Linked DNA regions of Stegostoma tigrinum. The protein of the gene in region 2 interacts with the protein of the main gene of each other region in a biochemical or structural test. Links are inferred from orthologs where the notes say so. Each region holds a gene or a part of one and is shown on either strand. Other genes may lie near its edges.

The links.
Region 1: the proteins of rad51ap1 (region 2) and dmc1 form a complex in vitro, tested with the Homo sapiens proteins (2 studies listed by BioGRID and IntAct). The link is inferred for Stegostoma tigrinum from reciprocal best matches to the Homo sapiens genes RAD51AP1 and DMC1.

The regions. Positions count from the first base shown.
Region 1 is NC_081391.1:989,236-1,006,010, forward strand, and holds the start of dmc1 (meiotic recombination protein DMC1/LIM15 homolog), read right to left. Parts: upstream 6,644-16,775; 5' UTR 6,582-6,643; intron 955-6,581; 5' UTR 909-954; coding exon 852-908; intron 1-851. UniProt on the Homo sapiens protein: Participates in meiotic recombination, specifically in homologous strand assimilation, which is required for the resolution of meiotic double-strand breaks.
Region 2 is NC_081378.1:34,610,597-34,627,796, reverse strand, and holds the start of rad51ap1 (RAD51-associated protein 1), read left to right. Parts: upstream 1-9,209; 5' UTR 9,210-9,291; coding exon 9,292-9,308; intron 9,309-17,200. UniProt on the Homo sapiens protein: Structure-specific DNA-binding protein involved in DNA repair by promoting RAD51-mediated homologous recombination.

The DNA.
Region 1 (16,775 bases), on a different chromosome or scaffold from region 2:
AAAATTATAAGACACATGGACAAGGTGAACAGAAAGCAGCTGATCCTTTTAGCTGAGTGATGAATAACAAGGGGGCATAATTTTAAGGTGAAAGGTAGGAGGTTCAGAAGGGGTTTGAGGAAAAATATTTTCATGTGGGGGTCTGGAATGTACTACCTGGCAGAGTAGTTGAGGGGCATAATCTCACAACCTTTAAAAAGTACATAGTTAAGCACTTCAAATGTCATAAAATTCAAAAGTCGGCCTCATGCTGAAAATAGGATTATTGTAGACTTAGCGTCACTTTTGCAATACCAACTTGATCTTCTGTACTGTATTATTTCAACCCCCAGCCAAACTCTAACCAATCGTACCAGCAAACCTGCTTGGAAGGATGTTTCAGATTTCAAAAAGGATTGTTTGTGTTGCATTTGCATCAGCCTGTCTTCAATTAAGCTGCCTACTTCTCTGCCACTTTCTTTGTGCTCTCACATGCTGATCTAGCTCTGTAATCAAAAACCAACTAAGACATGATGAAGGGTCTAGGCCCGAAACGTCAGCTTTTGTGCTCCTGAGATGCTGCTTGGCCTGCTGTGTTCATCCAGCCTCACATTTTATTATCTAAGACATATTATTGATTCTTTGACCTGTCTCTCTCTCTCTCCATTGATGCTTCTTGGCATCTAAATATTTCTAGCATTTTTTGTTTTTATTTTCAGACTTTCAGCATTCACATTATTTTTGCTCCTGTATTTTTCTTTTTGTTAACTGTACACTTATAAAAGAAGAATACAAAAAGAGGTTTCATATTTTTGAGCCATGATACACTATCATGGAAACAATCTTAGATACTGCAAGTAATGTTACTGTACCTCTTCATCCTGGAAGCTAACTTCCTCCTCAACCACCTGATCCTCCATGGCCTTCATTGTTGCAAACAAATGCAAGGCACTTACTTTAGAATCAGTTGTATTGCTAAAAGCACAAAAGAGCAAGACAACATTTCATGAATAAAGATAAACCTGAAATTCTATGGAACGTTTCATAATCTCAGGAAACCCCGAAGCTCTTCAATGCCAATTAATTATTTTTGAAGTAAACAAAAACAACGTTGCCGGAAAAGCCCAGCAGGTTGGCAGCATCTGTGAAAGAAAAGACGGAGTTAACATATAGAACATAGAACAGTACATAGAACAGTACAGCACAGAACAGGCCCTTCAGCCCACAATGTTGTGCCGACCATTGATCCTCATGTATGCACCCTCAAATTTCTGTGACCATATACATGTCCAGCAGTCTCTTAAATGACCCCAATGACCTTGCTTCCACAACTGCTGCTGGCAACGCATTCCATGCTCTCACAACTCTCTGCGTAAAGAACCTGCCTCTGACATCCCCTCTATACTTTCCACCAACCAGCTTAAAACTATGACCCCTCGTGCCCTGGGAAATAGTCTCTGGCTATCAACTCTATCTATGCCTCTCATTATCTTGTATACCTCAATTAGGTCCCCTCTCCTCCTCCTTTTCTCCAATGAAAAGAGACCGAGCTCAGTCAACCTCTCTTCATAAGATAAGCCCTCCAGTCCAGGCAGCATCCTGGTAAACCTCCTCTGAACCCTCTCCAAAGCATCCACATCTTTCCTATAATAGGGCGCCCAGAACTGGACGCAGTATTCCAAGTGCGATCCAACCGAAGTTCTATAGAGCTGCAACAAGATCTCACGACTCTTAAACTCAATCCCCCTGTTAATGAAAGCCAAAACACCATATGCTTTCTTAACAACCCTGTCCACTTGGGTGGCCATTTTAAGGGATCTATGTATCTGCACACCAAGATCCCTCTGTTCCTCCACGCTGCCAAGAATCCTATCCTTAATCCTGTACTCAGCTTTCAAATTCGACCTTCCAAAATGCATCACCTCGCATTTATCCAGGTTGAACTCCATCTGCCACCTCTCAGCCCATCTCTGCATCCTGTCAATGTCCCGCTGCAGCCTACAACAGCCCTCTACACTGTCAACGACACCTCCGACCTTTGTGTCGTCTGCAAACTTCCCATCCTTCAATTCCCTCGTCCAAGTCATTAATAAAAATTACAAACAGTAGAGGCCCAAGGACAGAGCCCTGTGGAACTCCACTCACCACTGACTTCCAGGCAGAATATTTTCCTTCTACTACCACTCGCTGTCTTCTGTTGGCCAGCCAATTCTGTATCCAAGCAGCTAAGTTCCCCTGTATCCCATTCCTCCTGACCTTCTGAATGAGCCTACCATGGGGAACCTTATCAAATGCCTTACTGAAGTCCATATACACCACATCCACAGCTCGACCCTCATCAACCTTTCTAGTCACATCCTCAAAAAACTCGATAAGGTTTGTAAGGCATGACCTACCCCTCACAAAGCCGTGTTGACTATATTTTCTTTCAGAGATGCTGCCAGACCTGCTGAGCTTTTCCAGCAACTTTGTTTTTGTTCCTGATTTACAGTGTCGGCAGTTCTTTCGGTTTTTACTTTTGAAGTGAAGTTCTGCCAGTGCTCTAATATAGGAAGTCCTAACTGTAGTTCTATTCTGCTCCCAGCCAACCCCTCTCAACTCACTCCCTCCTCACCCCACCCACCATCCCATTCCCTCTGGTCATCCTGCTGCCCCAATCCCCCATCCCACTACTTTACCCTCACCGTCCCACTCCCTCCCCTCATCATGCTCCGTTTCCACTCATGCCCCCCCATCCTGCTCCCAGACCCCCCCATCATCCTAATCCCTCCCCCTCATCTACTGTACACCATTTCCCTTCCTCACCCCTAGCCTTCTTCCTCATCTCTGTCTCACCACTTTCCTGCATTGCACTCTCCCCCTTCCTTGTTTTCCCCCTTCCCTTCATCCCTCTCCTCTCCCGCTTTCCTTCTCTCATCTTTCCATCCTCGTCCCCCTTCACTCATCCCCCTCTACCCCCATTTCCTTTTCTCACCTTTTCTTCCGCTTCACTCATCCCCCCTCCAATTCCCTGGTTCCACTCTGACCCTTCCCTCGTCCTATTCTCCCCCAATTTCCTTCTCTCGCCTTCCCCCCAATTCCTCATCCCCCCGTCCTTCCTTCCTCGACCCCTCTCCAGGCCTTCACCACCTTTCCCCATGTCCCCCTCTCCGTGCCCCCACCCCCTTCCCTTCAACCCCTCTCTACACCCAATCACCTTTCCCCTCGTGCCCTTCTGTGCCATCCCCATCCACTTTTCCCTTCATCCCCTCTCCACCACACCCACAACCTTTCCCCTTGTCCCCCTCTCTGCTGCCCCGCAACCCTTCCCCTCGTCCCCCTCTCCGCCACCCCAACAACCTTTCCCCTTGTACCCCTCTCCGCCGCCCCACAACCTTTCCCCTCAACCCCCCTTCGCCATGCCCACCCACCGTTATTCTCGTACCCCTCTCTGCTACGTGGACCATGTTTCCCTTTACCATCCGCACCTCCCTACCCTCATCCCTCTCTCCACACCCCCACCTTTCCCCATGTCCTTCTCTTCACCTCCCCAACACCATTCTCCTCAGCCGTCTCCAACCAGCCCACACCTTTTCCCTCATTTGTCTCCGTCCCCCCACATCTTTCCCCCAACTGTCTCTCCCCCTTCATTCATCCCTGTCTCCCACCCCGGTTTCACTCATCCCTCTCAGCCCCCTTTCAATCAGCCCTTTCTCTTCCCCCAACCATTGTCCCTCATTTCTCTGTCTGCACGCCCAACCTTTGCCCTCATCCCTCTGTCCACCATCCCACCTTTCTCCTCCCCACTCTCCGTACCCTCCTAACCCCTTATCCCTCTAGCTACATCCCACCTTTCCTCTCATTCCCTCTGTTTGCAATCCGTGGCCTTCCCCCTCATCCCTCTGTCCACTGCCCTAGCCTTTCCCCTCATCCCTCTGTCAGCCATCCCACCTTCCCCCCTATACTTTCATTCATGTCTCCACACCCCACCTTTCCCCTCGTCCCACTCTCTCATCCATCATTCATTCCTCTCTTGCCACCCCACCACATTTCCTCTTTTCCTTCGCTCTTCCCCTTCATTCATCCCTTTTTCCTGCCAGTTTTTTCTCATCCCTCTGTCCACTTCCCTCACCCAACCCTCAACCTTTCACCTAATCTCTCTACCGACCTCCCACCTTACCCCTCTCTTTCCATTCATTCAACCCTCTCTCTTCCATCCGCCCTACCGTTTCTTATCCCTGTCTCTTACCCCACCCCGACCTTTCTCCCATCCCTCTCTCTAGCCCCCACCTTTTCTCACAGCTCCCTCTCTTTTCTCTAACCACTCCCCCATTTCTCTCAGCTCCACCTTTTGTCTTATCCGCATCTTATTTCTCTTTACCCCATCCCCAGCTTTTCTCTCTTCCATCTCCCCTTCAACATTTTCTCTCATCCCTCCCTCTCTCTCCCCCTATTTCTCTCATCTCTCTCTACCCCACCTTTTCTCTCTCCCACCCAGCCTTTCCCATCCCTCTCTGCTCCCCATTTGCTCTCACCCCTCTACCCCCTTTCTCTCATCTCTCTCTGCCTCCTTTTCTCTCATCCTTCTCTTTCCCCCAACCTTTTCTTATCCCTCTCTCAACCACCTTTTAATTACTCCCTCTCTCGCTCCCCAACTTTTCTCACAGACCCTTCTCTCCATCTTTTTTCTCTACCCCCACCATCTTCTCTCATCCATCTCTTCAACCTGCCTTTTCTGTCATCCCTCTCTCCACCCCCATTTCTCTCATCCCTCTCTTCTTCACTTTCCCTTCATTTCTTTACTCACTTTCTTTCATTCCCTCCTTCTCTCTCACTCTATGCCCCCTTTTCTCTCATCCTTCTCTCTCCGTGCTACCTTTTCTCTCAATCCTCTCTTCCTCCACCAACTTTATTCTCATCCCTCTCACACCCCCTTTCCCTTATCGCTTTTCTCTCAACTGTCTCTAGGCTCCCCAACTTTTTCCCTCATCCCTCTCTCCCCCAAACTTTCCCATCATAAGTGGCAGCACGGTGGCTCATGTTCGATTCCAGCCTTGGGCAACTGTCTGTGCGGAGTTTGCACATTCTCCCCGTGTCTGTGCGGGTTTGCTCTGGTTTCCTCCCACAGTCCAAAGATGTGCAGAGTAGGTGGATTGGCCATGCTAAATTGCCTGTAATGTTCAGGATGTGTGGGTTATAGGGGGACGGGTCTGGGTGGGATGCACCAAAGGGCAGTATGGACTTGTTGGGCCGAAGGGCCTGTTTGCACAATGTAGGGAATCTAATCTAATCCCTCTCTTCCCCCACCTTTTCCATAATCGCTCTCTCCCCCCACCCTTTTCCCTCATCCCTTTCACCCCCCACCTTTTCTCTCTTTTCCCCCGCACCTTTATTCTCAATCCTCTCTCTCTCCCCCAACACATTTTCTCCCATCCTCTCTCTCGCTTTTCCCCACCCATCTTTTCCCTCATCCCTTTTCTCATCCCTCTCTACCCCCCTTTTCTCATCCCTGTCTTCTCCCTTGTTTCTCCAACATTTTCTCTCATCCTTCTTTCTCATTCCCAACCTTTTCCCTCATCTGTTTCTCTCCACCCACCTTTTTTCTCATTTCGTCTCTCCACCCACCTTTTCTCTCATGCATCTCTCTCCTCTCCCTTTTCTATCAAGCGTATTTCCCCCCCCCCCGTTTTCTCCCAGGCTTTTCTCTCATCCCTCTCTTTGTCTGCTTTTCTCATTCCTTTTCTCTCGCTGCACCTTTGCTCTCATCCCTCTCTCTCTCTCCTGCCACCTTTGATCTCATGCCCATCTCTCTCCCCTTCACCTTTTATCTGATCCCTCTCTCTGCTCCCCAACATTTCCTTCATTCCACTCTCGCCCCACCACTTTTCTCTCATCCCGCTCCCCCCTTCCTTTTCTCACATCTTCCTGTCACTTCTCCACCTTTCTCTCATCCCTATCACCCTCCAACCTTTTACCTCTCCCCTCTCTCCCCCCACTTTTGCTGTCATCCCTCTCTCTCTCCCCCAACCTTTTCTCTCATCCCCTACTATCCCCCACCTTTTAGTTAATCCTCTCTCCCGCCCCCCACCTTTTAACTAATTCCTCTCTATCCCCAACAGCACCTATTCTCTCATCTTCCTCTCATCCCTCTCTCGGACCCCTCGCTTTTACTCTTATCCCTTTCTCCACCACCATCTTTTCTCTCACCCCTCTCCACTCCACTTTTCTCTCCCCCTTCTCCACTCCACTTTTCTCACATCGCTCTCCTTCTATTCCTCTCATTCCTTTTCCCCACCCCTTTTCTCTCATCCCTGTTTCAGTCCATCCCACCGTTTCTCTCATCTCTCTCGCCACCCTTTTCTCTCATTCGCCCTCTCTCGCTCGCATCTTTTCTATCATTCCCCCTCTCTCCCCCACACCTATTCTCTCATCCCTCTTCTCCCCCACTTTTCTCTCAATCCCCTCTACTTTTTTCTCTCTTCCTTTTCTCTTATTACTCTCTCTCCCCCAGTTTTACTCTCTTTTTGCCTCATCCCTCCCTCCCACCACCTTTTCTCTCGTTCCTCTCTCCCCTCAGCTTTTCTCTCATCCTTCACTCCCCCCCCCCCCGCGGAGCCCCTTACCTTCGCGGCCCCAGCTCTCTAAGTTTGAAGACTGTTTGGCACTCCCGCCGCTCCTATTGTTGGTCTTCATCACGTGTTCGCTATTTGAATTTAGGCGGCCGTTGGTTTTGGTGGGAATTGCGCTCACCGTCCTCCCGTGGACCGTGCCCCCCCCGGAAAGGCATTTCTTCGAGTGTTGCACAATAAACCAAATTTCTTCGGAAATCAAGTTGGCATAAGAAAAGTTAAAGGCAAGAACTCACTTATGGGATTAGTGTGTATGTCCTCTAACCATAGCCATACAACAGAAGAAATAAATCTATCAGAAGGATAACGTGATAGTCATGGAGGAATTTTTAATAGATATAGACTTTGAAAATCAAATCGGCAAAATAGCTCAGAAGATGAATTCATAGAATGTTTTCAGGGTAGAGTCACACAGCATGTAAACCGACCCCTTCGTCCAACCTGTGTACGCTGATCATAATTCCAAATTATAATCGTCCCACCTACTTGTACTTAGCCCATATGCCTCACAACATTTTTATTCATGTACTTCTAAATCTCTTTTAAATGTTGTAACAGTATCTGCATACTCTAAGGTTTTGGAGTAGATTTGTAGCTCGGGTTGTGGATGTTGAGGTTGGTTGGCTCGCCAAGCTAGTTTGTTGTTCTGCAGGTGTTTTGTTACCGTGCTTGGTAACGTCCTCAGTGCAGCTTCTGATGAAGCATCAGTGTGTTTCCCTGTCTGGTTTTTAAACTCTGGGGTGGCTTGCGTTGGATTGCCTCACTTGCGGATTTCATCTGTAGTGGAATGTATATAGGTTCGAGTTCAATTTGTTGAGTAATAGGATGCTTCGTGGAGTGCCATGCTTGCAGGAAATCTCGTGCTTGTCTGTGCCTAGCCTGTCCCAGGATCTTGGTGTTGTCCTAGTCGAAGTCATGGTTCTCCTTGTCCATGTGGATTGAGATGAGTGAGTGAGTACTGGTCGTGTCTTTTTGTAACCAATTGCTGTTCATGTACTCTTGTTGTTAGTTTCCTTCCTCTTTGTCCAATATAGTGTTTCTTGCAGTCTCTGCAGGGGATCTTGTAGATGACATTGGTCCTGTCCATGGCAGGGAGTGGATCTTTAGTTCGGGTGAGCACTTGTCGTAGGGTTGATGTGGATTTGTGTGCAACTCTGATGCTGAGTAGTCGTAGAAGTCTTGTGGTGAGTTCTGATGTGTTCCTGATGTAAGGTAGTGTGATGAGTGTAGAATCTTTCTGATGCTGTTCCTGTAGGCATCTCCTGACCCAGTTCTTTGGATGTCCATTATCCTTGAACACTTGGAAGAGGTATTCCTCCTCCTCTTGACATAGTTCATGTTGCTGCAGTGTGTTGTTGCCCTATTAAATAGTGTTTGCACGCAGCTTCATTTGTGTGTGCTGGGATGGTTACTATTGAAGTTCAATACCTGGTCTGTGTGTGTGGCTTTTCTGTGTAATCTTTGATAACTTCTCCACTGCCCACTGTATCACCAAGTTTGGTGTCATCCACAAACTTGCTAACCATGTTTACTATATTTTTATATAAATGTCAAACAAAAGTGGACCCAAAACCAATCCCTGTGGAACACTCCTGCCACGGGCCTCCACCATCACACTTTGTCTCCTGCCATTAAGCTAATTTCATAAGCAATTGGCAAGCTCACCCTGAATTCCATATGACCTACCTTTACTAATCAGTCTACGATGCGGAACCTTGTCAAACGTTTTACTAAAGTGGAAGTAAAAAACAACTACCGCTTTGCCCTCACTAATCTTCTTGGTTACTTCATCAAAAAACTGAAAATCAAGTTTGTGAGACACGACTTACCTTGCATAAAACCATGCAGACAATCCCTAATCATTCCTCGCCACTTCAAATGCATATAAATCCCATCTTTCAGAATCACTTCCAACAACTTGCCCACCACCGAAGTCAGACTCGCAAGTATACTGTTTCCAGGATTCTACTTACATCCCTGTTTAAACAAAGACACATTAGTCATTCTCCAGTCATTTGGCACCTCTCCTGTATTTATAGATGATACACATATTTTAGCAAGGGACTCTGCAATGTCCTCCTTAACTTCCCACAAAGTCCTGGGATAAACTAGATCATGTCCTGGAGATTTAACCAATTTTAAGTTTTCTAAGATCTCTAGCACTTCCCCTTCTATTATGTGAATGGTTTTCAAAATATCAATATTTATTTCCATGAGTTCCATAGCATCCATTTCTTTCTCTACAGTAAAAACTGATGCAAGATATTAGTTTAATATCGCTCCCATCTCCTGAAGTTTAACACAAAGACAACTTGTAGTATTTTTAAAAACAGTATGTACTGGTATGAATCAGAGAGGAAGTCATATCGACTCGAATTTGTGCAAAAAGATAGGATTAATTAATGACTTAATAGTCAACCTGCCCTCCTATTAGCAGCAATAATAATATGTTTGAATTTTACATTCCATTTAAGGGAGAGAAGAGTGTGGGGTCCAAGACTAATATTTTTAATTTATACAATGACAATTTTGAGGGAATGAAAACAGAGCTAACTAATGTGACTGGCAAATTCGGTTCAGGAAAATTCAATAGAGATGCAGTGGCAGACGTTTAAAAGGATATTACACAGAATGAATAAATAGAACTTTTCTTTCTTGTTAGAATCTAATGAGAAAACCGACCATCCGTGATTAATTTAAAAAAAGTTAAAGTTAGTATCAAATCTAAAGAAAAAGAATAATTACTCAAAGAAAGGTTTGAAGATTGAATAGAGTATAAAAAATGACTAAAAGACTAATAATAAAGGAAGTACAAGGGTAAGCTAGCTAGAAATATAAAAACTGTTGATAGTAGTTTCTATAGCTACTGAAAAAAGGAAAAGAATTAAAGTGACTGTTATTCCGATAAAAAGTGAGTCTGGGGAACTAACAACAAAAATTAAGGAGATGGCATATTATTTGCATAGTGATAATGGGAACTGCAGATGCTGGAGAATCCAAGATAACAAATTGTGGAGCTGGATGAACACAGCAGGCCAGGCAGCATCTCAGGACCACAAAAGCTGATGTTTCGGGCCTAGACCCGATGAAGGGTCTAGGCCCGAAACGTCAGCTTTTGTGCTTCTGAGATGCTGCTTGGCCTGCTGTGTTCATCCAGCTCCACACTTTGTTATATTATTTGGATAGGATTTTTGCATCAGTCTTCGCTGCAAGGGATGCAAGTAAACTCCCAGGAACAGCGATAAATAAGAAATGGAGGCGTGGGAGAACCTCAAGAAACTTACAATATCCAAGAAAATGGTTCTGAGCAATATTTTGGAGTTGGTAGCTGACAATGTTCCTGGATCATGTTGGACTTCATAGAAACATAGCATTTGTGAAGAAATGTCTAGTGAGACAGTTGTTGCATTGTTAAGTTTTCCAAAATTTACAACAGTCAGTTATGCAATGATAAATAGTTGCAATCCTGTGCAACATCACATTGTAGAAAATCATGCCATAGGAATAATAAGGCCTATAGGAAAAGCAGACTATCAAAATATATCACTTAAAATTGCTCAAAAATCACTCAAAAGCCTAACACAAAGGATAGCACAGTCTGAATAAATGTTTAACTCATATCTAATAATGAAACAAATGTAAATTTAACACCTTACCTTGAAAAAATGTCAAGGTGACTTAATGAAGGAGGAGGTGTTGAGGTTGCTCTGTTGCTAATGCAGGTGCTGAGGGTCATCATCATCATCATCATTATCACCACCTTCAGGTGCAGTTGTGGTTGCAGGGTTTGGGTGAAAAATAGTTAATCCAGAAGTGGATGGCCACGGTTCATTGTTTTCCGACTATTTCTTGGTGGTTGGTCTGAAGAAGACATCCAGTTGTTGTCACTTTATCCTTATTCTTCTATCATGAAGAAGCTGCAGATAGGGTGCCAAATAAGATCTTATTCCACAAACTGCTACCCTGCTGCATTCTGCATTGTACTTGTTGTCCTGGAAGACCTGCAACTGCTTCTCAATTTCTCTCAGGGTAGAAGACAAAACAGAAGTGGAAAGGTCTTGTGGTGCTGCGTCTGGGACTTCAGCTTCTTCATCTACAGTTTCCACTTCCCTCTCAATGACAAGTTGTTGTAGATCAGCTGTACAGAGGTCTTCACAGTGGGACTCGAGCAGCTCTTCAACATCCTCACTCTACACTTCTTCAATTCGAACTTGCTTTGCAAGATCAACACGATGTTCTTTGAATCTTAGGAGTTCCTCTGACAGATCAAAGCTTTTAAAACCTTGGAAAACATCTGGGAGAAACTTCTGCCAAACTGCATGCAAGCTGTTGTTACTGACATCATCCCAGGCCTCCACGATAATGATAATTGCGTTCTTGACATTAAAATTCTTTCAAAATTGAAGAACACTGTTCTTATCTTGCTATTACACCCTGGTCCATGGGTTGACGGAGAGAGGTGGTCTTTGGGCATCGAAATAGCACTTTGATGTTTTCAGAAAGCTCACCAATGGTGGGGGGATGGCCTGGCGCATTTTCTAGGATGAGGAGAATCTTGAAATCCAAACAAGTTTTCCTGCAATACTTTCTAAAAACATCAACAATAAGGTCAGAAAAAAATTGCCCCATCGTCCAAGCTCTTTTGCTTGATCTAAAGTAGACACCTAAAGTAGAATTAAGATAACCTTCCGAGGCTCACGAGTTGGCAGAGTGGTACACCACCACAGGCTTAAGCTTTAAGTGACCACTGGCATTGTCACTCAGCAGCACAGTCATACGATCCTTTGTCAACTTAAAGCCTGGAATGTGTGCTTCCTTCATAGAAATGTAGGTTCTTGATGGCATTTGCTTCCTATATAAACCTGTCTCATCAAAATTGAAAATTTGATCTAAGTTGTAGTCCTCTTCAACAATTTTTTTTTACAATGGGAGGAAATGCCATTGCATGTTCATTGTCTGCACTGGCTGCTTCGCTACATAACTTTATGTTATGAAAAGCACAGTGGTTCTTAAAACCAGAAAACTAGCCAGTGCTAGGACTAAATGCAGGCACACCTTGCAGGGTTTTCAGTTTTTTTTGTTAGATCTTCATAAATTAATAAAGCTTTCCCTTTTATGGTGAGAAAGATGGTCCAAGATCGCTTTTTTGTTTGATCTTCTATCCACACACTGAGAAGCCACTCCATCTACTCAAGTTCCTTTGTCCACGACCTCCCGGATTTGGTAGCACTCTGACTTGTTTGAGCAATACAGTTTGCTTTAATCTTTTCTACATTGTCTTTAATTGTGTGTAAGACAGACTCCTTTTTTCCTGTTACATGAACTATGTCACATGTTCTCTCATTCCGCTCAAAACGCTTTATAACTTCTGGCTTCTCTTCCAGTGTTACAGCCTTTTACATTCACCATTCATAATTCTAACATCAGGACACTTCTTGCTAACATTCTTGTCACTTTGTCCTTGTATTTTTGTGGGTAACACGGCAGAATTTGCAAGCGCAAAATGAAAATCACAGAGTGCTGTACCTCTCACAGAAATCACCACGACAAAGTATGCAAAATGATCATATGATGCCTGCGTGGAGACTCTTTCAGTGCCATCATTGCGCTTATTCAGGACAAAGCCGTGAAACAATCATGAGATCCCTGAGCGGAGACTCTTCTGGCACTAACATTGCACGTGTTTAGGACAAAGCCCGCAAAACAATCATGTGATGTCAACACTCCTCTGTGTACTGATGGAATCATGTTATAGCCAACACAAGTTTGCACTTTAGAAATAGCATTCCCCTATTTGTCAGTTGCATTATAGCCAATTTGCATTGCCCAAATATGCATTATAACAGAACCAACTGTACACTGGAAAGTGTACGGCTTGATGAACGCAGCAGGCCAAGCAGCATCTTAGGAGCACAAAAGCTGACATTTTGGGCCGGAAGGGTCTCGGCCCTAAATGTCAACTTTTGTGCTCCTAAGATGCTGCTTGGCCTGCTGTATTCATCCAGCTCTACACTTTGTTATCTCGGATTCTCCAGCATCTGCAGTTCCCATTGTCTCTGTACACTGGAAAGTATCACATTTAACTCTTCTGTTCAAAAGTAAATTCAAAGTAGACATTTATGGTGTAGGGTGTATTCACAGTATACATTAAGGATTTAGATGAGGGAACTAAATGTAATATCTTCAAATTTGCAGATGACTAAAGCTTAGTGGGAGGATGAGCTACAAGGAGGAGTATGAAAAGTGCAGGGGGAATCTCAAGAAAGCACTTAGGAAGTAAAGATTGGCATGGAAAAAAAATACTGGCAGGCAAGACTTGTGAGAATCCCAAGATATTCAACAAGTATGTCAACGGGAGCAGAATAACCAGGGAAAGAGTAGGGCCTGGTAGAGAAGATGGACCCAAGATCAGCCCACAGCAAAACCTCAAAACAAAGGCGAGCTTTGGCCAATTGTTCTTTAGAATTCAGGCTAGCCAGGCATTGTAGTTGCTGCTGTGAACTTGAGATAACAAAGGAGTCCCATGAGGCCTGATTTGAGTTAGGCAACTCATAGATCAGTATCCAGGAGTGCACACCCTGGCAAGTTTACCTGCATGTGGTTTGGAACAATTAAATTGCTTCACAACATCCAAATCAAAACCAATCAATTAAATGTCTGGTTAAGTGGTCACCCAATTCTAATGGAGGTCAATACCAGCACAGCTTTATCAGTGATCGCAGAACCAGTTTTTAACAAGATTTGCTCTGGACTCCAACCCTTACATTTGGTTAAATGTTTCTCCCAGGTGGATGTATGCCTTGGAAGAGAAAAAAATGTGTGTTCCAAGCACCCCAAGTAACCTACCTGGGCTATAGAGTTGACAAGACTGGGTTACACCCTTTAGAAGAAAAAGTGAGGGCAATCAAAGATGCCATAGCTCCCAGGTCTGTACCAGAGTTTAGGTTGTTCCCTGGGTTTTTTATTTCCCCGGTGAATTATTATGGAAAACTCATCGATAATCTGGCACCCTGAAACCTGCTATTGATAAAATGTCAGCCTTGGAAATGGTCACATATCCAAGAAGTAACCATTAGGGAAGTGAAAAAGCAGCTATCATCTAAGGTCTTGGCTCATTACAAACCTACGCAAGATGCGCTACTGACATGCAATGCCTGCCTGTATGGTATCAGCTAAGAGTCGGTTCAATTGTAGCCCAATAGATAGGAAAGCCCGATAGCGTATGCTTCCTGGACTTTGGCTGATGCCGAACACAAATTTGTCAAGATAGAGAAGGAACGTTTGGTGGTCATTTTCAGTGTGAGAAAGTTTCATTTATACCTTTACGGAAGTAAATTTGTAACAGCAACCGACCACTGTTAGGGATATTTAAAGGCGGCAAGGTCGCGCCAACCCAGTATGGTTCCTGTTTGATTATAGGACCACCCTCATACAACTACACGGGTTGCTCCAGCAGAATTACTGATGGAGAGAAGACTCCGGACCAGGTTAACCTGATATTCCCACAGCTGGAGGGTGAGCGTGATACGGCATCGGGACACCAATGCTGAATACAAGACTCCTCTAAATAAGAGAGACAATTTACTTCAGGGGACCAGGTTTGGTGTTGAAACTCAGTAATGGCCCTGCAAGGGTATGAAGCATTGGTGATGTGATATCAGGCCTTGTGACATGCAAGGTTGTGGTAGGTGAGGCAGTCCTGAACAAACATGTGTATGACACTAAAGCTGTTACCTCAAAATTGGGCAGGAGCAGAAAGTGCCCTGCCCCTTAGCTCAGCCGGTAAAGCTGTCAGAGACACATTGGGTTCTCCCTCTCCATCTGGCGTTGAAGAAACTTCAGAGTCAGAGATGGATGCAGCCAATGTTGCAGTCTTGATACTGTTACCACTTGAAGAAGAAGAGAAATATCTGCTGAGATGGTCCAGGTGCAAGAGACGGTCAGACAGTCTGGTACACGCCATCCATTTACAGGGCTGAGTTAGAGGAATGGACTTGGGGTGAAAATGTTCCAGGAGAAGCCACAAGAGAAACAACATGCCTGCATCGCCAGACTTAGTGTGGGAGGGATTTAGTGGTTGGAACGACATTGGCTAGGTGGATCCATCGAGTATGCATTATCTGACTGGGGCTGTTAACCTGGGTCAATCAGGAAGTCCTGGCTGACAGATATAAACAGAAGTCTCAGGATTCCCCTCATGTTAGGGGCTGGCTCTGAGCTAGCTGGTCAGAGTCCATATTCCTCCATATTCATGTGCTTATTTAAATATCCCTTCGATGCCCCTATTGTATTTATTTATCCATGCATTTATAGAACATAGAACAATACAGCACAGAACAGGCCCTTTGGCCCTCGATGTTGTGCCGACCTGTGAACTAATCTAAGCTCCTCCCCCTACACTATCTCATCATTATCCATATGCTTATCCAAGGCCTGTTTAAATGCCCCTAATGTGGCTGAGTTAACTACATTGGCAGGCAGGGCGTTCCACGCCCTTACCACTCCCTGAGTAAAGAACCTGCCTCTGACATCTGTCTTAAATCTATCACCCCTCAGTTTGTAGCTATGCCCCCTTGTACAAGCTGAAGTCATCATCCTCGGAAAAAGACTCTCACTGTCCACCCTATCTAATCCTCTGATCATCTTGTATGTCTCTATTAAATCCCCTCTTAGCCGCCTTCTCTCCAATGAGAACAGACCCAAGTCCCTCAGCCTTTCTTCATAGGGCCTGCGCTCCAGACCGGGCAACATCCTGGTAAATCTCCTCTGCACCTTCTCCAATACTTCCACATCCTTCCTGTAATGGGGCGACCAGAACTGCACGCAATATTCTAAACGAGGCTGCACTAGCATTTTGTACAGTTGCAGCATGACTAATCCACCTAGCCTGAATATTCGTGGACACTACAGGCCAGTTTAGCATAGCCAACCAACCCAACCTGCACATCTTTGGTCTGTGGAGGAAACTCAAGCACCTGGAGGAAATCCATGCACACATGCGGAGAATGCAAACTGAAGATACAGAAAAGGGTGGAGGCAATGACACATCTCTGCTTGAGCTTAAATGTTTCTGTTATATTCTGCGGGTGAAGTCTGTCATCAACATCTTGAAGGCGGAGGCGACGGAGCATGTTGATGAAATTCTCTGCACAGATGGCCTTTGATCTGGTATTCCATGGCACCTCCCAACTAACAGAAAAAATTCAGAAGGTTCAGAATTAATCTGCATTTGGAGAGGCAAAGATTAATCACGAATATCATGGTTTTCTTAATGCAGGTTATATCTGACCAACTTGATTGTACTTTTTTGAACAGTGACCAGGTTTGTAGATTGAGGGCAATGTTTTAGTTGTAATCAACTTGAACTTCAGCAAGACTCTTATGAGTTATAACAGAAATCTCATAATCAAATGCTGAAACAATTATTTAAACTCTATTGCTTGTAGCAGGCAAAATATGACCATTCAAGTAAGCAAGTTGAGCCTCACAACCCAACTTAATCATTACCCAATTAATGGTGGAACTTAGATACAATTCCAACTAAGACCATCTGTCTCTGGATGATCCTTAAGCAGTGTGGCTCTTCAGAATTCTGCTGAAGAATCCCAAAGTTGAATTTTTATTGGATTCCCTGTCTTGTTAAGCTTGTGGTATGACAGGATTTATGACACTTCTGCAGTCAACAAATCTGTAACTTGCCTTCTTATCAGTAGATTTTCTGTCCCATACATTTGGTGTTAGCTATCTGGCCAAAAAAAAAACCATCCTGCCATTAACTCCTTAAAAATATCTGCAGCCAATCTTAATTGCCTATTGGTCACAAAGCATCTAGTTGTCAAACAGATGTTAAAACAATTTGTTTATGTAGCTTCAACACCACCTTTTCTTAGGGATGGTGAATTGCTTTCAAAATTTTGTTCCTTTATTTCAAGAAACTGTTTATTTCAGAAAGTTATTGCTAAATCTTCCAATCCCTGGTTAACTACTAAAATTCTAAATTTCAGAGTTTCACATTTTGTTTAAGGTCTTTCATGGGAGACTGATAAGTATGAGAGAGCCCATTGGGTCCAATTAGAACATAGAACAGTACAGGCCCTTCAGCCCACGATGTTGGGTTGACCTATTATCCTACTAAGTTCAATCTACCCTGCATACCCTACATTTTGCTATCCTCCATGTGTCTATCCA
Region 2 (17,200 bases):
TACAGTTCTTGTTGTCGCAGAAAAGGCTGCCAACATAAAAGACCTCTCCCACCCCAGTAATGCTCTCTTCCAACCTCTTCTGTCAGGCAGAAGATAGAGAAGCTTGAACACACACACCAACAGGTTCACAAACAGCTTCTTCCCTGCTGGTATCAGACTGCTGAATGGACCTCTCTAACTTCAAATAACTTAGATCTTGCTTTGTATACCCCCTGCACAGCCGTAACCTTGTATTCCTCGCTCTAAGCATCCTGGATCTGTAAGTAACAAAGTGTGGAGCTGGATGAACACAGCTGGCCAAGCAGCTGAGGATCTGATGAAGGGTCTAGGCCCGAAACGTCAGCTTTTGTGCTCCTGAGATGCTGCTTGGCCTGCTGTGTTCATCCAGCTCCATACTTTGTTATCTTGGATTCTCCAGCATCTGCAGTTCCCATTATGTCTGGATCTGTATGTCCTTGTTTGTCATGATCTGCCTGTACTGCTCGCAAAACAAAACTAAACTTTTCAATGTACTCAGGTCAATAGGTCTACAATAAATCAAATCAAGCCAGAGATGTTTATTTAAGAAAAAGGAAGAATGCCTTTGCAATGCTGAAGACTTGTTACATTTGTTATTGAGGTAGGAGAAAGATGAATTTTGCATATAACATATTACTCCATCGATTCCTTGACTTATATTTACATAGTCCTCTTTATGACCTCTGAATCCATCAAAGCACTCAATACCCATTACGTTACTTGTAAAATTTAGGCATAAAGTTGTAATATTGGGAAATAAGGCAAGCTAATTTGTGTATAGTAACATTCCACACACAAATGTGATAATAACCTATTTTTCCCCATTTGGTGGCGGGATATGTTTTGGCCAAAGTATAGGAGATAGTTCAGCTGCTTTTCTTCAAAATAGCTTTCTGTGGTAAAAACGGAAGTGTGTGCAGAAACAATATGCATCTCATTGACTTATATATATACCCATAACATTCCATGATTCCGTTCATAGCATCATACTCCATTTACAAGCTCTCCTCTTAGAGCAGAATTTTACCCTCATGATGTTCAAGTCTTATGTCAAACATGTATCTAAATGTTGGTGTTTTAGGTATTTTTAATTAAAGATTGGAGTTCGATTTCAAAATTTACCTATATATAAACATTGTGATAACATATACAAACCAAAATCAACATACTTTCCATTACAAATGCAGATTGTCCTTTGATGTCTTTCCAGCATTCTGTTTTCAAGATTTCCAAAATGGCATGGATATTACATTCCCAACAGAGATAAATGCTGGTATGTGCAAAATATTTCCAAATGATGGAAATTTTTGAAAAATAACTATGCTTTAAAGTGAACATCCTTCTGGAGTATACAGTCAATGTATACTGATTTCATGGATATGTGGTTGTACTCACCTACTTGTTAGGTTATGATAAAAAAAATCAATTTTGTTCTTATAGGTGTAAGGGCCTATAACTTAAAAACAAAATTAGAAATTCCATTTAATAGCTGAAATTTTATGTTTTATGCGTTATACTGTAACAATAGATGAAAAACATTACTGACTAAACACTAACTTTGTAGGAACCATATTTTAAAACCACAAACAAAACATTCTGCTTCTCAATTTAGCACAAATGAAAACACATTTCACACACACAGTTCATATTAAACAGAATTTTCCCTTTTCTGGTTTGGCATGAGCAATGGTGACAAATTTGGAAAATATATGGAGAATGAAAAAGAAGTCTAAAACTTGACATCGCTAAAACAATTCTGCAGTTTTTCCCTTAAGCTTTACATGGAAACTTCCAAATTTTGCAATGTTGACAAACTCGTTATCAAGGTGGGAAAAGAAATGGAAACTTGGTACAAGCGAGATTTGGTATATCATTAACATCCCATCTTGTCATATTTATATGCCATTTCCAATTCACCTCTCCTTTACCAGGAAAGCAAACCGTGCAAGTTCCCGATATGCAATTCTATCTGGTACCTTGTGACTTTAGCTCTCCAATTGCTTGTTCTGTTCATTTTCCAGCTGTGTTTTTAACACATGTTCTGCAAACTGATTCCCCTCAATCCTTCATCCATACCAGTCAGTATCAAAAAACCACCAGACTCACCGCACCATCATATCAGCGCTCAGATCAATTCACATATCCCCAGTTCAGGTTTTCAATAGCTTACTTTGGAATTCAGGGCCACCTAGGACTTGCATGCTTCTGCATATTATTCTGTTCAAGCAGATACATCCTGCGCAGATGCATGTGTATATTATAGTTTTTAGCTTACTTTCTTAAAGCTCACCTTGCACTTTTTTGGAGGCTGCCAGCCTCTGCCTATTTCACTTTGAGCATGCACTAAGAAAGCAATGACCTCAGCCCTGACTCGCAGGCTGCGAGGCTGCAAGTGGTTTGCAGTACTTTTTCCACGGAAAGAGACAGAAGGTGGGAGTACTAAACAGTTAAGGGAATGGGTAAGTGGGCACCGCTACATCATGCTATGTTGACTGGAAATGAATTAGCTTTATTGTTACACGTACTCAAATGACTGAGTCGGCACTGACAGCACCATTTTAGGTACGAAGGTACCTAGGTACAATCCTTAGTTGCAGAATACAGAAATGAAGATTATGTGCTGATGGTCGCACTAAAGTTGCGGCAGCCGCCACCAAGGCGCAGTGGGGAAAGACCACTGTCTGAGGTGTCTCTGCTGAAAGTAAATGGGGGTCCATTCAGTTATTGGAATCTCCCAGTGTCTCAAATCTATGTAAAAATTGATATTGTATTTATAAGAGAGTTCAACAGAGTCAAAGTTCAATGCTTTTGTTTCGTTCATTTGATATGCAATTGTCACAAATGCAATTCGGTTCTGTACAATGTGTATATATCCACAAAGTTTTTTTAAAGAATAAAGAATATATTTGGAATTAAGAAAAGAAACCAAAAGAAAACTAGCATTACAGCTCTACACAATATATGGTCAGAAAAAAAACCATAAGCCAAGCTAAAAACACAAAAATTACAGATAAAATCACACCTTCAGTATTCATCAGCAGCTCTCACAGAAAACACGCTGCATTTGCTTTAAGCAAATTGCCATCTGTGAAAGTCAAAGTGAAACAGTACTTAGTGGAATCAAGGGGGACTACTCCACTGTTAATCAAGGGGCTGGCCACAGTCAGTCAGTCAGGTTCTTAGCCTTGCAGACTCCAGGGATTAGAATACTTAGACTTTGTGGATCAGGCTAAAGTCAATATGCAGGTCAAGTACAAGCAGACTGAGAATTAAGCATGCATTGGTCAGGGTGCCGTAGAGGTATCAGTCTAACTGCCAGGGCTGTCCTGTCATGTCAGTCCAAGGGATCTGCCGCAGTCACTTTATCAGGGAGCAGTCCATGGAGTCCTGGCTGTAGTGAGCAACTCAATCCTGGGAATGGGGTTCATTGCGCAGGGTTGATGAAAGAACATTCACAGTGATAGAGGGAAATTTTGGATAGAAAAGTAGGACCTCATAGATAGCAGGAACTGTTTGGGTGTTCTGGGAGGTGGCAAGGTTCTCACAGGTCACGATCACCATGGCCTCTGCATGTGAGTGTGCAGGACCACCAAGGGAAGGGAATTTCCAAAAGTGATGGGGTCTGGAGGTAAAGTGGGAACATTAATTGTAATATTAAAGGGCTCAACTGAAATGGGAGGAAGCTGAGGGGTTATGGGACTACAGGAAAAGCAACACTCAAGGGAACAAGGTGGCTGGGGAGAAATATCTTACATCACAGGTGGAGCCTGCACGTTTGTCTCACAAAGAAAATTGGAACCTTGCCACATTGGATCAAAAGCCATCTGTACAATAACCACACAAAATGACTCTCACCTCACACAAATTGGATGGAATAAATTAGTATTGTTTTCTTTAGAATCAAGGTAAAGCTCTGGGAATTCATTTTGTCAACGCTTGGGATTGTAACTTCTTTCATCCTTGAGATATCTGAAGAGGGTACCCATCTCCCACATGGATGTGAGACTTAACCAAGTCTGACATACAAAATTATACTGCAGTACATTGGTAAATATATTTTCATTTGCCCAGTTAAACAAAGTGAATGATGCACCCTAATTCTTTTTCTTCCTTTGGGTGCAAACAGCAGTCGTAACTTCGCGACAGCGGAAGCCAGTTTTGTAGCTAGTCCAGTTGGCATGGATATCTTGAGTGGTTATACGGTAGGTGCTGTTTGGCATTATTAGCCCAGGTCCGCTGAGAGAGTGTCCTTTCACTATCCTCAGTTTGAACTTCTGCAGGCTTTAGGGTCACAGTTTTTCTTTTGGGCTGGGGCGGTCGGGGAGGCACCTCTGCTGTATCCTGTATGTGATAACTTCTTTCGACGTGTGCCAACTGGCACCGCCTGGTCTTTCTGAGAGGAAGCAGCACTTCAGGTTATGTTAAGGTCCCTTGTCCTCCCATTCTCCTTGTTATTGATGTTGACCTATAGGTAAGGAGATGTGATGCAGATCCCTGCAAACATCTGGCAGACAGAGTATGGAGGACTTGGTAACCATGATAGTCACCAACTTTTCCATGCAGTCAGTCAGATATATGTGTACTGTATCCAGCTCAGCGAATGCCTCTGAAGATCCATCCTGCTGTTCGTTTTCACAATAATTAAATCGTCATGCCCTTTTGAACATCTTCTGCCCAAAACTTAGCAACTGCTTGCTCTGCAGCTGTTGTCTGGTTGCTAACTCCTGGGACATCTCTTTGACCAGATGCAAAGACCTGCTCGCTAGATTGGGATCCTGGGTCTATTCTCAATAGAATATCCACTGAGGGTATTCTCTTTGAACAGGTGGGGGGAGTGCAGGCGGGTGCTTTTCCAATGCATTTTCAGAGTTGAATGGCTTCCTTCTCAGGTTTGGATGTGAGCTGGATACCACCAGCTCACTCCTAAGAGAGAGAATTAGTTGTCAAAGAAGGATAAAGGTTAATGGGCTGGATGGCCATTGAGGGCCTCCTGGCTTCACAAGCAGTTGTGCTTTTCCCCAGCTAACTCTAGAATTTTCTCTTTATAGAAAGCAAGAAACCTGATGTCAGCCACCACTCAACTACAGTTGGTCTTGGATTTCTTTTCTATTTATGGGCTAGTTTTTCCGACAATAAGACAGGGAGGAATGACCGAGATGAAAGCAGATGGAAGAAAGGTCAGTGGTGAGTTGTAGTCTATTAGCATTGATGAGACATGTGCGCAGTGGCAGAGTTTAAGTAAGTTGGGGACTTGACAGTGCAAGATGGCAGAGCAAAAGTAGTGGCACTTACCTTATAAACCGCAGAAGATCATTGTCCTTATTTCTACAACACTGGGCATCCTGCTTCACCTGGAATATAGCACTGTAGTATTTTTCTTTGCTGTCAGTGTTGAATTCACTATGACCTCTCTTCTAGGAACGTTCCTCTTGAAAATTTACCCCACCTCACTCCAAGGGATTTTCCATTTATTGCTTCCACCTTACTTAATTGAATTTTAGCTTCTCCTTGACCACGATCGTAAATCTGAAGCAAGGTCACAGACCTGAAATTTTAACTTTGTTTCTCTCTCCACAGCCGATATCAGGCCCGCTAAATATTTCCAGCGTTTTAAAAATTTTTGATTTTCAGTAACTGCAATGTTTTACATTCTTTTAAAATACTTCACATAAGGCAAGATAATAGTTCAAGAGACATTTTTTTAAAAATAGAAAGACAGACAATCTAAAAAATCCATCAGAATAAATCTGTTCTGAGAGGAGGAATATACAGGGGGAAGAAATGATGTTACAGGTATTGTCTCTGATTTAGTAATCCAGAAACCCAAGTAATGTTCTAGGTTCCAGGACAGAGGGTGGAATTTGATTTCAATGAAATCTGGAATTGTCAATTCCATTCTCAATTGTCATAAGATAAAAACCTTTCTGGATCATGAGTTTTCTTTAGGAATGGAAATCTGGTATCCTTACTTGATCCATCTAAAATGTAACTCCACAAAAAAGAAATGTGTTTGATTCCCAGTTGTCCTTTGAATTGGCCTAGGAAGCCTTTCAATTGTATCAAATCATTTAAAAAAATCTCAAAAGAAAATGAAATCACACTAACCATCTGGCATTGAACTAAACATAGGAAATTACAGCAGTAAAGTTAGCCCCGTTGACCCTGTAAAGTCCTTCTTACCAATATTCGGGCACTTGTTCAAAACTTGGAGAACTGACTTACAAGCAGCAGTTTGACAAAGTCAAAACCATGTAAACATACCTTGATGACAATGTCTCAGATACTATCCCCACTCTGGGCATATTCTGTCTTATCAGAATGAGAGCAGAGGTGGTGGCACAGTGACATGCCCTGGGAGTCCATAAGACCATAAGACATAGGAGTGGAAGTATGGCCATTTGGCCCATCAAGTCCACTCCGCCATTTAAATCATGGCTGATGGGCATTTCAACTTCCCTGCACTTTCCTGTAACCCTTGATTCCTTGTGAGATCAAGAATTTGTTGATCTCTGCCTTGAAGGCATCTAACGTCCCGGCCTCCACTGCACTCCATGGCAATGAATTCCACAAGTCCACGACTCTCTGGCTGAAGAAATGTCATCCCATTTCCGTTTTAAATCTAACCCCTCTAATTCTAAGGCTGTGCCCATGGGTCCTGGTCTCCTCGCCTAACGGAAACAACTTCCCAGTGTCCACCCCTTCTAAGCCATACATTATCTTGTAAGTTTCTATTAGATCTCCCCTCAACCTTCTAAACTCTAATGAGTATAATCCCAGGATCCTTAGTCGTTCATCAGTCCTCAATGTTGATTCTGGATCACACGAAGTCTCATTGCATCTGATAAAACATGGACAAGGATATCTCCTATTGATTACCAAATATCACCCCCATCAGACGATGATTCAGTATTCCTCCACGTTGAATTTGGGAGGAAGCAAAGAAGGTGGAAAGGATGCTGAATCTGCTCTGGTAGGAGACTTCAACTTCCAGCACCAAAAAACATATTTGTTTTTCCTTGATCCTTACCAATCTGCCTGTGTGAAATATCTGTCATCGGCAGAATTAGCAGGAGTGACCACTGCAAAATCTTTGTGGAGATGAAGTCCCATCTCCATACTGAAGATACCTTCCATCATGTTGTATGGCACTACCAAATGGGATAGACTGCGCACATATCTGCCACGTTCAGTGGTGAACAGTGGTAGACAATTAAACAACTCATTGAAGGAGCTGGTGCCACAAGTATCCCCATCAACAATGGGGAAGGCCACAGCATTGGTGAAAAGGGTAAGACTTAAGTGCCTGAAACACTCTAGTCAAAAATGCTAAGTGGATGATCCATCTCAGCCTTCTTCTGAGGTTCCCAGGGTCACAATTCACTCCATGTGACACCAATATATGGTAGAAGACACTGGATACTGCTAAAGCTATGGGTCCTGGTAATGTTCCCAGAATAGAACTGAATTTGTCACATCCCAAGTGAAGACCTTTGAGTGTAGCTGCAACACTGATCCTTAGACATCACATTCTAAACCCATGACCACTACTGACTAGAACAACAGCAAGAGATATGTGGAAACACCACCACCTGTAAGCTTTCCTCCAAACTTACTCATTGTTTTGACTTGGAAATATATCATTGTTCCTTCACTGTCACAGGGTCAAAAATCATGGAGCTTCCTTCCTAATAGCATTTTGAGGGTATCTACACCAAATGGATTGCAGCAGTTCAAGACAGCAGCTCACCACCACCTTCGAGGGCAACTAGGGATACATTATAAATGCTGGTCCAGCCAGCAATGCCCACGTTCCATCAATGAATAAAAAATAACTCCATTCAGACGTTTTCTAGCTGTTTGATGTAAATTTATTATTGCAGTTGACAATGTAAGCAGAATACTTTGAAATAAAACAAAGAACTGTGGATGCTGGAAATCTGAAACTCAAATAGAAAGTGCTGAAGAAGGGTCTCTGGACACAAAATACTAACCATGCTTTCCCTCCACAGATGCTGCCAGACTTGCTGAGTTTCTCCAGCAATTTCCATTTGTGCAGAGTACCTTTCCTGTTATAATTTCAATACCATTATTTTCAGCTATCTGAGGTTGATCTAAGGTATGTCATTTATCATTGGTATAAGTTCCTAATGTAATGAGGATTGTGTGTTACAATCTGGCTATGTTAAAAGTGGGAACAGAAAGAACTGATTGTGGATTCTGAAGGGCGCTTACAAAAACCTACATCTCACCAGTTTGATAATTAATTCTGAAGTGCCACAGTTTCACACAAATTACTAGCCTGACAACACTGAACTTTAATCTTGTTTATCCAGCTTTAAAGTACAATAGGTATCTTTTTAACATGCCATTTGACAGATAGATTTAGTTACCAGCATTCAGAGGATGTTACCAAAATTCTTTCTTAGTGGATTTTTTTGCTGAGTTCTAGCCAAATGAGCATATTGAAGAAAATAGAAGACCTTATTCTGTAGGTTCAGTAAATGCAGATGCTGACCAATATTCCATAATTGAGTATTCTTCAAGCAAGATGCTGTTAATAATATGGGCCCAGGAAAAGTGTTGTAGAAAAAACTACAAGTGTTCCATAATGACAATGACTTCAACAACTTGGATTCTATAAACGCCCTCCACAATTGTTCTTATCAAGCGTATTTATAATGCATGGGGAGGGCGAAGAAGAGAGAGAGAAAGCTGCAACTTAACCGAGGTGTCTGAATTAATAAATGCTTTACAGAAAGAGAAAATGGAAGAAGAACTTTAGGATACAATCTACTCATGTATGTACACAAACAAAGCACAGACGTATGGTACATACAACTGAAATATTTTTTAAAAACTCTTCATATGTTTTACACATTATATTCTCCTCCTGCAAATATTGAGCAAAAGGCATTTTTCCTTCTCGGAAGCGACAATTAATAAATCTGACCATTACCTGTAGCCAAAGCCTTCCCCAAACAGGAACTAGCTGCAACCCAAAGCACCTTTTCTAAAAAGCGTGTTTCAATATCAAGCAGCTGATTCGGTAGGATATCGTCTGAGTATTTACGGAGCGCTAGGAAGCGGAATTGTTTAACTGCATACGAGCCTCAGTATTTTTTAAACGTTTTTTGTTTTTGCCTTTTATTGTGTAATTCCTTAAACGGTAAATGTAATTTTACAGTTGTGGTGAATGTGCGGCTGGGCGCTGACGTGTGTTGGCGGGTGATTTATTTCTCATTTTGCTTCAAGCTCTGTTGTTGTGGGAGAGCGATGGCCAGGCCGGTGAGGTGAGTGGATTTAACTGGGTATGATCGAGGAGATAGGCCCGGAATATGGAGGCGACATCCTGGGGTGTGGGGGAAATGGTGGACCTTGGGAGAGGCTTGGTGGCGGGGAGAGACCCGACGGTGGTATGTTCACATTCAGGACGAGGGAACATTGCTCCACAAAAGACCAGTCGTAGAATTTAGTACATGGTGTGCAGGACTGCAGAAATTATATTTGAAAATTCTCTAATCTGTGCTGGCATTTCAGCTATTAGACGAGTTCACATTGTCAAATCCAGATAGACTTCTAGGTTTGACAGAAATTAAATATGCAGATAAACACATTCTGAGAAGAAATGTCAGAAACACGATAAAATAAATATACTTGGAAAGCAGTGTTTTCCATCTGTTTTCATGTTGCAAATGGGGCAATCAGCCATTCAAAAGAAAATGGAAGTCTTAATGTCATTAAAGATCAAGATGTAGGTGCGAAAGAAGAATTTGAATGAGGAGAAATAAGGACAGAAATGCTTTTGTTGAATTCTAGAAGCTAAGAGAATTTGGGACTTACATTAGACAAATGAACCCCATAAATGCACAGAGTTCAGTCAAGTAATGTTTCAGGTGTGATTCAAAGTAACATTGCACCATGAATTAGCATGAAAAGTATGGTAGAATATTCAAAGATTCAGAAGAAGAATGTGGATACATGGATCAAAGAGGGGCCTTTTTATGGTCGTAAGAAGTTTCAGCCCAATGACGAATGTGTTGGTGGCAGAATCTTTCAGTTGATTAGTATTAGACAGCTAGTGAGTTTTGAGAAGGTTTGTAGCTCAGCTGCAGAAAAAACTAGACAAACTCACACAAAATAACAACACAGAAGCATGGATAAAAAACTTATCTGACTGACCATTAACAGATACTGAAACAGCCGATTTAGTAAGAGGATTAAATTACAATTTCCGGAATGTGGACAAGAACTGAGCTACAAAGTATTAGATGGTGGCTGTAGGTCTGCACTGGGTGAAGTAGATGATTAAATTGGTACCTATACTCTCTGATAAATAAGGGTTGGACCAAAGGCAAGGAATTTGAGATTCTACCAGCTTCACATTTGGAGAAAATAACGTACAAAATCTTGTTTTAAAAAGAGTAATTACTCCTTGTAAAATAGCTATAATTAAATCATTTTTTCAGTGTTCCATTCAATACTGATGTTATTGAGTAAGCCTTTGATAAAAATAAGTGTATATGAAACTGGATATGGAAAGTAAGAAAGTCAATGGATTTGGAAAATCCTGTAACTTTGCAATTTATGCTGGTCAGATACTACTAAGTAAATTATTTTGAAGAAGTGTTATTGACATCAGGGGATAGAAATTTAAAAGACTAATAGTTAATTGTGTTAAAACAACGTGGGCAATTTGTTGATGCCTCCGCCAAAAGGTTAAAAATTTTAGTAAATGATTCAGGAACACGGAATGAGGAATGTTACAAGTTTGTCGAAGTGTTAAGTAATAGATGTAAGATATTGAAGGACGCTGTCATGCCTCCAGTAGGTCTGCTGTGAGCAAGGTACTTCATCGAGATAGTGGTAATGGACATAAAGATGTGGGATAAGAATGAAAAATGTTACATATAGGTTTGGCAACCAGATTGAATCAATCAACAATAACACATAGTAAAAATATGAAAATAATTATGGATCAAGTAATGAAAATGGGGGTGGGACTGGACGTGGACTGAGAATGAGTATCTGAGAATGGGGGGTAATTTGCCCGTGATAAATTACAAGATATATGCAGAAATATGAACTTAACAGTTCTGAATATGACAGCAGGAAGCCATTTTACCGACAGGCTATGTGAAAGGAACTATGCAGTAATAGACAAAATGATTCATTGTTTATGATTTGGTCTGCCAAAATTCTATCGTCTGCACGAGCATGGCTGGCAATGTCAAGAATTCACTGCAGATGATCGTAAAATATAGTCCAAATCATTTAGTAGTTGTTACATATCGTTAAGTTCTATCCATTATAAGTCATCAGCACCCAGCTTGTGAAGGGTCTACAATTAACTTTACTGTGTTGAACATTTGAAGGCACTACATGCAGGCAGACAGGCTTTTAATAAAGTGACAGTTTCACAAAGGATCCAGCAATCTTTAAAGTATGGTGTAAAGCTATTGGAAACCAGTTTCAATCAAGGAGATGTTGTTTATTATGAAAGAGAGGGGCATAAATAGTAGTGGAATCGTAGAATCTCTAGAGTGTGAAAGCAAGCCATTTGGCCCATGAGTCCACACCAATCATCTGAAGACCATCCCAACCAGACCCACTGTCCTATCCTATACTTGTAACCCTACCTTTCCCACAGCTAGTCATCCGAGCCTACACATTCCTGGACAATTTATCATAGCCAATTCACCTAACTTGAATATCTTTGAACTGTGGGAGCAAACATGCACAGACACGGGAAGAATGTGCAAACTCCACACAGACAGTTGCCATAGGATGGAATCGAACCTGGGATCCCTAGCACAATGAGATGGCAGTGCTAACCACTGAGCCACTGATGCCTAGGAAAGGTTATTGGTAAGGATGGAGAAACAATATTTGTATAGCAAGGGACAAGGTTGCTTGGGAACATCGTTCAAGAATTGCTTGGTGTAAATTTCAAATTTATAGATTCTAAAGGAGTTAAAGAACAGGATAGGGGATCCTGATACTTCTCGTGACCATATATTACACAGCTATGTGGATCAGACTTTTAACATTGACAATTTGTTTACTGAAGGATGGACTAATTCAGATTATCAAAAGGACAGCTACCAAAGTGGGTACGAAAGTCATATTTGTGCCACAAGGGGCTAGTCAGTGGAAAAACTGGACTATAATTAGGAGATTGAGTAAGGCCACTGGAGAGTATAACACCTTTACGATTGTACAGAATAACCAACAAGACATTAGCCCATGGATTGGGAGCAGGAGGTACAAGAAGTGAAGGTGAGAAAAGGCTGTGTAAGTTCATGCAGTGGTTCTGAAGTCAACTTGTCCCTAAAAAGAGATCATGAACTGTTGGAAAGAATCCTATTAATAGACAAAGAGATCACAACAGTAGCTATTCAGAAAGGTTTAGTAAGCAAGATAGAGGATACCGCTTATAAAGGTCAAGGACCAGAAATGTTACCAAGAACAGAAGCCCATTCGATCAGAAAGTCTCTGTGCTACAAACAAGTTGAAAGATGAGTTAATAAAATCTGCCATAAAGAAGCCACTACAAAGTCTTGAGAGAATTTCACGTGTACGCAGAGGTGGTAGATAGGGGACCACCAGCACTGTATCATAGATGAATATGCTTAGAAAAGATGTCTTCTAACGGGACTTACAAGACTCAAGCCAAGCTAGTGGATTGAGATTGTGGAGTAAAACTGGGGCAAAAGTAGATGCACCTCAGGATAGGAATTTTGAAGATTTTCTTTTATTTGTTAGCAGCGAATACTTGGGAATGTAGATCAATTCTTATTAGAGTTGTATTTCTGCAGGGAGTTCAGCTAAAAAGAGTGTTTCTTTGCCATCCAAAACAGAACACTTTTTGGAACACTCCGCAAGTTCAATCAAGGTGTAGATTGTCTAAATGATGCCTCTAGAGCTTGGTACTTCTCAGGAAGGTCCATCTTGTTGAAGCCAGCCCTGCCCTGTTTTACCAGCGCCATGGAGGAGTGGGTGGTGGGGGTAATTTTTGGGCATCCTTACTGTGCATGCAGTTGATTTTTTTTAGTCTGGAGGAAAGAGTGCCGTGAATTTGACAACATCGTCATAATTGGGCTTCAAGCAGAATTCAAAATTGGAAGCCAGGCTTCTTGGTCTTTTTGTGGGTACCACTGGGGTACCACAGAGTTTGGACTTCAGGCCCCAACTATTTACAATCTATATTAATTACTTGGATGCAATGTAGAAAATCCTATAGCCTAATTTGTAGACGACACCAAAATAGGTGGGAAAGTAAGTTGCAATGAAGAAACAAGAAATTTACAATTAAATATGATTGAGCCAAAACTTGGCTGATGAAGTTTTATGTGGATAAGTGTGAGGTTACTTGTTTTGGTCTGAGGAATAGAAAGGCAACTTACTTTTTTAAATGAAGTAAGCTTCAGAGTGCTTCGGTGCAAAGGGATCTGGGAGTCCTCATGCATGAATCGCAGAAAACTAGAATGCAGGGTACAGCAGGTAATAAAGAAGGCAAAAGGAATTTTGGCACTCATTGAGAAAAGAATTGAGCTTAAAAGCAGGGAAGTGTTGCTGCAGTTGTATAGGGCATTGGTGAAAACGCACCTGGAGTATTACATACAATTTTATGTCCCTTAACATGAAGTGCATGTAATTGCATTGAAGGCAGTTCAGAGAAGGTTCATTAGATTGATTCCAGAGATGACAGGTTTGTCTTATGAAGCAAAATTGAGCAGTTCATGCATGTACAGCTTAGGTGGGGCAGTCTAAAATGAGAGGTCACAGTTTTAGGTGGCAGAGATGAAGTAAAATTCTCTCAGAGGTCATGAATCTGTGGAATTCACTACTCCCGAGTGCACTGGATGACAGGACATTGAGTAAATTTAGGGAGGAGATAGATAGATCTTTCAATACTAATAGAATGAAGGGTTATGGAGAACAGGCAGGAGAGTGGAGTGGAGGCTGAGATGAGATCAGCCATGATCATATCAAATGGTGGATGAAGCTCGAAGGGCTGAATTGCCTACTTCTGCTCCTAGTTCCTATGGTCAAATAGTTTTGGATTGAAAATCAGACCCAGTGATTGGAGTGTTGCTTTGCATAACAATCTTATTTAGAAAATGTTAACTCCATCACAGTTAGTCAAAGTAGGGAAAAGATGCTGAATCTTCCAAATGCAATGGAGGAATTGTGAAGTCAAATTGGACCGCTAAATTGGCTGGACATCTAAATGAGGTCATATGCTAATTTTGAGGCCTAGGAGTTGACAGCGAAAAACCCCAAAGTGGAAGATATTATTTGGATGAACAAAGCATCGAAAAAAATTAAGAATGATGCATAGTGTTTTCAAACTTCCATCCTTGGTGGAAACCAGGAATGTGAAACTTAATGTTTCTACTGATGCTTCTTATACAAGTTTCTATCTGTTCCAAGCACAGGAAATTTTTTAATGTTTATTTTGGGAGACGGAGGCAAATATTACCCTTTTAGTTTGGGTAGCTTCAAAAGTTCAGAAGAATTACCTTAGCAGAATCTCCTTGCTCTTGTTGAGGCAGTCGATGTAGTATTTTCCCTTGTGAAATTATTGGAGGTATTTGAAAAAAGGGATTTTGCAGCAATACCCATTGACTGCTGCATTGATGATAAATCAGTATTGCATAATGTACATTCAATAAAATGTGTGAATGAGGTAAGCCTGAAGATCATTATTGCAGTTTTAAAACAGATGTAGAAAACAGGGAAATTTCCAAATTGTAATAGGCAAAAAGAAGCAGTCTGTTTTCTGACTACTTTATGAAGAAATAAGTAAGCTCCAAGAGACTATTTGAAATTCGAGAAAAGTGGATGTTTGAAACTCTAATGTACATTTAAAAATGTAGGAACATTGAATAATGTCATTTTACTCAATATGTTGTTGTTTTGTGTTTTTCTGATAGTTTTTCACTGTTGTTGCATGCATATTAATCTATTTTTACAAAAGAAAAGAGAATCTGTTATAATCTAGCTTGGTGCTAAATGGAACAGGGAACGGGTGTATACAAAAAGCAGGACAAATTCAACCTGGCCATTTACTACCGCATTGATTTACACTCAATCATTAGTAAAGTGATGGAAGGTGTCACCAATAGTGCTATCAGTCAGTGCCCGCTCAGCAATAATCTGGGCAGTGATGCCCAATTTGAGTTCTGTCAGGGTCTCAGCTCCTGACCTCATTACAGCCGTGGTTCAAACCTGGACAAAAAAGCTGAATACCAGCGGTGAGGTGAGAGTGACAGCCTTGACATCCAGACCTCATTTGACTGAATGTGGCATCAGGGTACCCTAGCAAAACTGGAATCAGTGGTAAAGGGGGCAAATCTTCCAGTGGTTGAAATCATACCTGACACACAAGAAGATGATTTTTGATGTTGGAGGTCAGTCATCTCAGCTCCAGGATATGTTTTCAGGAGTTCCTCAGAATAGTGTCCTAGGTTCAACCATCTTCAGGTGTTTATCAATGACCTTCCATCATAAAGGCTAGAAGTGATGATGTTCGGCACCATTCACGACTCTTCAGATACTGAAACAGTCCATTGTTCAAATGCAACAAGATTTGGACAATATCCTTGATTGGGCTAGCAAGTGGCATAGAACATTGTGCCACACAAATGCCAGGCCATGACTATCTCCAATAAGAGACAATCTAACCAATGCTCCTTGACACTCATTGATATCACCATCACCTGAATTCCCCCACTGTCAATATCCTCGGGATTACCATTGACCATAAATTCAACTGGACTTCACTACATCAATGCAGTGGCTACAAGAGCAATGCAGAGGCTAGGGATACTGCAATGAGTAACTCATCTCCTGACTCACCAAAGCCTTTTTGCCATCTAGTACAAGCGTATAAGATTAAGGGATTGGACACTCTGGTGGCAGGAAGCATGTTTCCGCTGATGGATGAGTCCAGAACCAGAGGACACAGTTTAAAAATAAGGAGTAGGCCATTTAGAACAGAGTTGAGGAAAACTTCTTCACCCAGAGAATGGTGGATATATGGAATGCTCTGCCCCAGAAGGCAGTGGAGGCCAACTCTCTGGATACTTTCAAGAAAGAGATAGATAGACCTCTCAAAGATAGTGGAATCAAGGGTTATGGGGATAAGGCAGGAACAGGATACTGATTGTGGATGATCAGCCATGATCATAATGAATGGTGGTGCTGGCTCGAAGGGCTGAATGGCCTACTCCAGCGCCTATTGTCTAAGTCAGGAGTGTGATGGAATGCTCCCCACTTTCCTGAATAGGTGCAGCTCCAAGAACACTCAAGAAGCTTGACATCATTGTGGATGGTACCACATCCACAAATATCACTCTCTCCACCTCTGATGCTCAGTAGCATTAATGTGGCTTATCTAAGCTGCACTACAGGAATTTACCAAAATCCTTAAACAGCATCATCCAAATCCATGTCCACTTCCATCTGGAAGATAAATGGGAATAGATAAAACAAATGTTGGCAGATAAATGGGAACACCACACTTGCAAGTTGCCCTCCAAGCCATTCACAATCCTGACTTGGAAATGTCTTGCAATTGAGGCCCAGTAACTGGTGGGCGGGTTTGTGAGGGGGATTTGGGGGTAACCGAGGGGAACAGGGGTAGCAGAGGGGGAATGGGACAATTGCGGAGTAGTGGGGGTAACTGAGGGGGAAATGGGGTAACTGAGGGGTTGTGGGGGTAACTGAGGAGGAATGGGGTAACTGAGGGGTTGTGGGGGTAACTGACGGGGAATGAGGTAACTGAGGGGGAGTGGGGTAACTGAGGGGTTATGGGGTAACTGAGGGGTTGTGGGGGTAACCGACGGGTTGTGGGTGTAATTGAGGGGGAGTGGGGTAACTGAGGGAGAATGGGGGTAACGGGTTGTGGGGGTAACTGAGGGGTTATGGGGGTAACTGAGGGGGAGTGGGGTAACTGAGGGGGAATGGGGTAACTGAGGGGGAATGAGGTAACAGGGGTTATGGGGGTAACTGAGGAGGAATGGGGTAACTGAGGGGTTGTGGGGGTAACTGAGGAGGAATGGGGTAACAGGGGTTGTGGGGGTAGTAGGGGGAATGGGGTAACGGGTTGTGGGGTAACTGAGGGGGAATGGGGTAACTGAGGGAGAGTGGGGGTAACTGAGGGGGAAATGGGGTAACT